2 linked regions of the Bombyx mori genome follow. The protein of the gene in region 2 interacts with the protein of the main gene of each other region in a pairwise test. Links are inferred from orthologs where the notes say so. Each region holds a gene or a part of one and is shown on either strand. Other genes may lie near its edges.

Evidence for each region.
Region 1: the proteins of E3 ubiquitin-protein ligase Rnf220 (region 2) and zinc finger C4H2 domain-containing protein interact in a two-hybrid assay, tested with the Drosophila melanogaster proteins (2 studies listed by BioGRID). The link is inferred for Bombyx mori from reciprocal best matches to the Drosophila melanogaster genes RNF220 and CG13001.

What each region holds. Positions count from the first base shown.
Region 1 is NC_085129.1:15,695,900-15,699,734, forward strand, and holds part of zinc finger C4H2 domain-containing protein, read right to left. Parts: intron 3,218-3,835; coding exon 3,046-3,217; intron 1-3,045.
Region 2 is NC_085117.1:719,255-723,189, forward strand, and holds the start of E3 ubiquitin-protein ligase Rnf220, read left to right. Parts: upstream 1-1,093; 5' UTR 1,094-1,353; coding exon 1,354-1,719; intron 1,720-3,396; coding exon 3,397-3,624; intron 3,625-3,724; coding exon 3,725-3,862; intron 3,863-3,935.

The sequences.
Region 1 (3,835 bases), on a different chromosome or scaffold from region 2:
AAGGCGACTTTTTACACATTCGCTGTACACCTTCTATAACACACAGCTTCTGATTGACCTCTTCGCCTCCACCGAATACTTTAAACGATTATATTTGAGAAACATATTTACAGATTTAACATATATTACGTATTTAGTCAACTACAACGCTGGTCCGAGAGGGATAGTGACTCAAAATAATGTGGTGGAGGCTGCGGTGCGGTACGAGAAGAAATACTTCCATAGAGGGAGAGAGGGAGAGAGAGAAGCAGGGAGAGGGAGAGGGAGAGAGGGAGAGAGAGAAACAGGGAGAGAGAGAGGGAGAGAGAGGGATATTGCTCGGACGCCGGCGGCCCTTATGTTGTCGTTCGGAACTCGTATGTAATATGAAATTTTATCCAATTACCCTTATTCCATGATGTTTGTTGTTTTAATGTTAAATATTTACCGTCACAAGAATACAAGTGGTGTGTGATGTCTTGTACACCGTTTGTGTTATTTCTAAAGAAGCCTCGATCAAACGCGAATTTCCAACTGAAGAACATTAATTTTATTTATTACATCATTATGTGAAAATAGTTGATACTCTAAAAATAAAACCCATTAATTTTGTACGAGCGTTCGCCCAGTGGTCTAAATACGACCATATTTAATTTCAATTATAAGCTTAAACATTATTATGGTTTTATTGTCAAAGACTATAAAACTTCTGTAATCACAGATTTCGCCATGGCTACACTATTAACAAATAATATTAACGACAAAAAATTTCAATCTATTCTCAAATAGACCACAGACTAAACAATAACAAAAGTTTGACAATAAACAAAGAGTATATATGCGTGTGTGTTTCAAATATATGGGAGTGTGTGTAATGTTTTTCAAGCTGATTTAATGTATTTTTATACATAATTAAAAAAATATATTAGCGTTCTGCACTCCTTCTCTATATTTTCTATAAGGTGTACAAAGTTTTTGCTTCACGTATATATATATTTGAAGTGACCGAATTCAGACCATACTGCTTTCTAGTTTCAATAAATGCGTCATTAACTGATTCATTCTAACCTTAGGCCAATAGAACAGAATCCGAACAAAAAACAATAATTTCTATTTAAAACGACAATGAGCTAGTCGCGTGCGCGGCCTGCAACAACGGGCGCGTTCAAATAAACACAATCGACATGATACGAATGTTCTCTGCCAGTAAAGTTTAACTGTAGACAATGTAAACAAACAACAACTCTTATATAGGGCCGCCGGTTTAAAAATAAAACCAAAACGCGACTCTGCTCTTTGAAGCATATTTATTCGAAGTGAGCCCTGCGGGAAACATGGCCGTGCTCCTTTAAAGTGAGGATACTATGCGAGTCCCTGTCACATCGGCCCCCGGTCATCTTCTCGTGCCATTCAAATACCCTGTTCTAGGAAGGCCATTCATATCTCGAAGTCATTCTGAATACATCCATGACCTTCCGCCCTCATGTTAAGCCGGTCTGCGATCACGCCGCGTAGTTATACGACAAAGGGAAGATCTTCCACCGAGCGGGTGATATTGCTCGGTAGACCGACGGTCAGTATGTTGTTGTTCGGAACTTGTATATATATGCAAGTTTATCTTGAAAATGTCGTAAGCGAGATTCAGGCCATAGTCAAATAAGTTTGTATGGTGGCAAGAGCCACAACCTCATGACGATTAAAAAAAAATATAACATCGCCATTATTGAGTGTGGCAGCCCTAGAACTGTTCTTTACTAGCATGTTTTCAATACCAGGTTTTTTTAGCGCATATTCATTGAATCCGCAAAATCATATAATATTCTTGTATGAATCCGGACAAAGTATTCTTTTTTAGGAATGATGACTCCGCAAATCCTCTTTTTCTTATGGAGATTATCGGCTATCCCAGTATAGTCGCAGGGAGCTAGTTTATAAGCGGCTTAAGTTGCAGTTTGTAGTTTGGCAAGGTAAACACATTCCGAATTAAATCTAAGGTGGGTGCTGTCCTTGCGGGGCGCGGATGTCGCGCGAGGAATGTAGCGGAGTCGCTTATTGTGGCCACCTCCGTACGGGCATCTCGTGGGAGATTCTGTCCCCGACACTGTACATCAATATTTGGTCGAGTGCTAGTATATTTCATCACAGCTCAACAAATAGCACTAGCATTACTGCCAATGTGAACTGTGAAGAACTGGACACAATGATGGAGAAGCTAGAGAATCTTCAGCTGGCCTTAGTTAATCGCTAGTCCCCGCTGCCCTTACACGACAACACTGAACCTCATATGCCACAACAGACGTTATCTAAGCTACAAAAGCTAGGTTTGAAAGGTTTGCGTCATCCGCCTTACTTGCCAGACCTTGCGTCGACAGACTTCTACTTTATCCAAAGTATAGACAATTTTTTAGCAAGGAAAAAATTTAGTACCCTAGAAGCAGTACAAAAGCCCTTTGAACGGTTTATTTGTTCCGTACCTGACTTCTTCAAGAAGGCCGTTGAAAATTTACCACTGCGCTGACAAATATATCAATACCAGGGGTGCTTATTTTAATTAATAGATTTATAAAAAAAAATTACTTTAACTTTCTATGAACTAAACAGCAACTTCATAAGTAAAGACCTAATATTAATTAAAACTAGTGTTCCCGCAGTAGTCGAAATTCGACTATAATTAATTAATATTATAAGTTTGGACTATTATATTTCTATAGTCGCAGATTTCGCCAAGACTACACTATTGACAAATACTTGTAATATTAAAAATAAAGAATATTAACCTATTCTCAATTTGACTACAGACTTTAAGCAATAACAAAAGTTTGACAATAAACAAAGAGTATATGTGTGTGTGTGTGTCAAATACATGGTAGTGTGTGTAATGTTTTCTTTATTGATTTAAAGTATTTTTAATGCATAATATAAAATAAAAAAAATACCATTGTGCACTCCTTCTCTATATTATTATTCTCTATAAGTGTGGGAAATTTCATACTCCTCCGTCCGCGCAATTTTCGTAAGAAATGGTAGAAAGTTTTTGCTTCACGTATTAATATATAGATAGCTTACTGCATTAATATCGGCATGTATCTGTCGAAGTTCCTCCACATGGCTCATCTTCTCCTGCTGCAGCAGCTCCATCTCGCGTTTGTACTGAGCTAGACAACGCCCCTCTTGATCACCGCTGCGCACCTCCGTCATGATGCTGCGCTTTAGTCTCTCCAGGGTTATAGTTTTGTTCCTGAAATTTAAAGGTACAGTTTCAAGATATTAAAATCAGCACTTTGTTATGTTACTTTGACATTTGAGTATTAAGCGGTAGGCAGCGGCTTGGCTCTGCCCTTGGCATTGCTGAAGTCCATGGGCGACGGTAGCCACTCACCATCACGTGGGCCGTATGCTCGTCTGCCTACAAGAGTAACACAAAAAAAACATTAACAACCAACGAAGTAAAGCATTTTGGTAAGTAGCTAAGAATTGATATTTTTGTTCTATTCTTTCGGGGGATAAATGGTAGCCCGGATCCGCTCCGGCTTAATCTTCTCAGGGCGGGTACGGCGGGTGCGACTAGTGCTGTCCGAGCGCCTCCGCGTGGCCTATCAATTCAAGGGGAGCTACTTCGCTAATACATCTACAAGTTTCCAGCCGCGCTTGGCCTGGGAGGAAAACGAGTTCCCTCGGTCTGATACCGAAACAAATGATTCGACAAGTAATTTTGTAAGATGAGCACGAGACGGTCCGGTGCGCCAGTGAGGTACTTTTTGTAAATCGAACCCTTGTACCAAAATTTTTCCCAACGCCCTTGTAATGACGAAGCAGAAGACTCTGTGAGGCAATAAGTCTGCTGGAAGCACGAGTG
Region 2 (3,935 bases):
TCATACTATAAAAGGTGATTTACAATTATTTACTAATGACAAATTTTACTATTAATATACTTAGACATTTAGGATAATTGTATTTTAATTTTTGAAGGTTTCACTTCTAACACGTATGAATTGCACACATGTTATATTTTTTTTCTTACCTACGCTGATAGCCTTAACAAGTAGGTGAGCTCACGGGGCTCAAACCAGGAGTCTTGCTAAAACTGGCCCTAGTAAAAGCAATGCTTCGCAGAATCTACCACCGGATTGGAAACGCGACCCACTGAGAAGATCTGGCGAGAAAGTCATCAATGGGCTGTGTCTGTGAGTTAATTTACTTGCCGAGCCCTTCGTCGCAAGCGACGCCGACGGGTTCGACGAGAACGATAACTGGTGACTGGTACTTGGAGCACCTAAAACCACCGTTATTGAATCGGGAGGATCCGAAATGACGTGTTTAGAGCAACCCGAAACCAGAATTATACTGTATGAATAAATTATAGTGAAACTAAACGCATATTCGATTTTTTTTATCTTAATCAAAACTCTTTTTACTATTTAAATTGATGTCTTAGCCACGAAACCTGTAAAGTATATAAGAAAAGTCGCAAAATAAGCGTATAATAATGATCAAAAACGTAAGATTAAACCGTAAAAGCGGTTTTAATTAATTTTACAATTCGTGAAAATTGAAGTAAATACTGATGTTATGTTATAATGTTAATAGCCGACAAGCAAAATCGATTTTAGAGTCGACAGTTCATAGTGTTCACCAAATGTATGTTGAGATTCAAGCGAATGACACAATTTTACACCTCATGAACTTTAAATTAGTTGGAATTGTTTGATGTAACATTGACTATTAATGGGAACTCTGTTGAACTTAATCGATTTTGTTTTCGATTCAAAGCTGTATGGAATATTTATTGGTTACATTTCTGTTTTATACGTATTCACTCTAATAATAATAATTAATCACTTTGATTATCATTGTGTATTACAGAATTTTTTTTATTTAATTTCAAAATGTTTTAGTTCGAAAAATATTTTTTTACGAAATCGATTCTTCCGATTTGTCCGGCTGTAAATCTTGATCACTTCACTAGAAATCTAAAACATCAAAAATTGGAATAAAAAAGTGTAAACGATCTCTACTCTGTACTGTAACTATTGTTTTGAAACAATTTATCGGCGTTTATTACGTAAATAAATAAATAAATTACAGCAAGATGAGTTCGTACATGACAATCGAACTCCCATTAACATCTTTAAAACGGTAGAAAACGTTAATCAATCACAAAAATCGCGATGTAATCAGATTTATAAAACACTCAAAACAAAACAAATTTTAAATTAATTTCTAATATGTTACCAGTTTTGATGTACAATAACATGGAGGGCTGTTCGAATAACGTGAATGAGCATAATACTAATTACGGGCAAATATACGACGAGAATGTAATATTAAATAGTGTTAGAAGTAGAAAAAAAGTTAGTGAATTACCGAATTGTCCGGTGTGTAGTTGTACCGTGCGTCAAGGTGAATTGGAACATCATTTAGATTTGGAATTAGCTAGGCTCAACAAACTCACCGGCAGTGCTTCGAAAAGGAAATTAAGTGTAAATAGTGTTAGTAACAATGTTAATGCAGCTGTTCCCGGATCCAGTACAAACGTTGAACTTGATGAAGGTATCGATGTCACAGGGTGTCCCGGCAGCGATGTTTACCAGGTGAATAATATTGTTGTTACTTGTGGTTTCATTTGCGCGCTCAAGGAAAAGGCTTAGTGCAGTTTATCGTGAGGGCGAGACGTCTTTTCCGTATTAAAGGTAGCCTGTGTCGTTCTTTTGACCTAATACTTTTAAAAAGGTACACGTCAATAAAAAAGGCAAACAAACAGAACAGACCTTCGCATTTGTAATATTAATTTGGATACTTAGAAGTATAGGTTTTACATCTTGTTACCTTGTAACTTATCAATAATAATATATCAATGTTTTTTCACCTTTGTCCTTTGAAATATATGCTGCCAATTTCTTTTGATACTGTAGTCTTGTTTGGTTCAGTGTTTGAAATAGCATTTATTTGAAAACAACAAACATGCAAGTAAAATTAACAAAAAGTTCTTGATATGTATAGTATGCTTAATATTTGAAGAGATTAGATACAATAATATTTTTTACTGGTGTAGAACCTCATGTGGATCCGAGCCGTTAGATACCACCACCCTGCCTATTTCTGCCGTGAAGCAATAATGCGTTTCGGCTTGAAGGCAGCCATTGTAACTGTACTGAGACCTTAGAACTTATATCTCAAGGTGGGTGGTGCATTTATGTTGTAGATGTCTATAGGCTCTAGTAACCAATTAACACCAGGTGGGCTGTGAGCTAGTCCTTCCATCAAAGCAATAAAATAAATAAAAAACATGACAATAAAAAAAAAAAAACTGAGTAGCAAGTGGAATAAGTTTGATAGATCGACAGCCCACAGTTTGTTGTCTAAAACTTTTGTACGATTATGCAAGTTTATTTCAATTACTTGATTATTAAGAGATGTTTCAAAGAAATGGCAATTCTGTGCACTTCATACAACTCTTTAGGATAGTTATTTATTTAAACTTGTATTGTACACATTATCTGCACACATCACTTGAACAAGTGCAAGATATCTTGAAAGAATTGTTCTGAAGCTCCTCATTCAAAAGGTTGCTAAATGTCAATAATAAACTGAAATAAATCATAAACACACACACTCCTACTTCAGTTGAATATTGTTCTGGAGGTAAACACAGACAATATCTGTTATATTTACAATCGGTTAGCTATACAGATATAAGAGTGTAGAGAGTACATTCGCAAAGATGTCAAGGTTTTTTTTGAACATAAATAATACATACAAAATTCAACAACAACTTCATAGCTCTCCTGGGGCTAAATGGTTACATGAAAATCATGCCAGTCACCACATACCTGGGGAAATGAGCTTAAGTGAATTAATAACACACTAAAATGATGGGAATTTACGGTGATGTCAGTGAACTTTTTAGAAGACAGAAAAGCCATGTCCAGCGGTCATGTTTCATTATAGTACTAAAAGGATTGGCTCATTTGTTTGTTGTCTATTTCGTGTATGTATTTTAAGAAGGCATTGAAAAGAATCCTACTGCCAGTCTATTTTCGTCCATTTCCATTTTTTTTGAATCACACCTGTCAAGTCTTTCCTTAGTTTATGTTCAGTCATCGTATATTCTGTCGTAGGTTACACGCCACGACAAGTACAATTGTCCATTTTGACCGATACCAAACTGATATCAAGTTAATATTCCATCATTATTGTATGTTAAAACCTAAAGAATAACAAACAACCTCATCCGTCTTGAAAAGCTTTCCCATTTATAACATTAGTAGGATTTCAATATTTATCTGCAGCGAGTACACGCGAACCGCCTCCGCCGTCTCCGGGCTCGTCGGAGAAGCACTCCTCCCCCACAAAATGGAGAGTGTCCTGTTTGCAATACAACCTTACCAACCTCCAAACTACAGAGGCACGCCTTGAGGTGCCTCAAGAGAACAGGAGCAGAGATGGATGAAGACATACCTGATACCAGCTCGGAGGAGGGCAGCATCGACGTAGAAGTGAGTATAATTAATTACATCTTGGTTGCATCTTGGCTGCTTCAAGCAATCGTGTGCTTTGACGGGTATGATTTAAATATAACTTGAAATATCTTCACAGAATGACGAACCTTCAGCCAGCGGGTTTGGTGCTGAATACCAGTGGTGCGGTGAGTGGAGGGTCAGAGCGACGGCTCTGCAGGATGCGGATTCAAGGGCAGCCACATGTGTCCGTAGGGCTTCCAATGATCAAGCGCTGGTAAGTATATACAAAAAAAAAAGTTTCTTATCAAGCTAGACTTTTTTGAATATGTTATAGCCCGGTAGTGAGA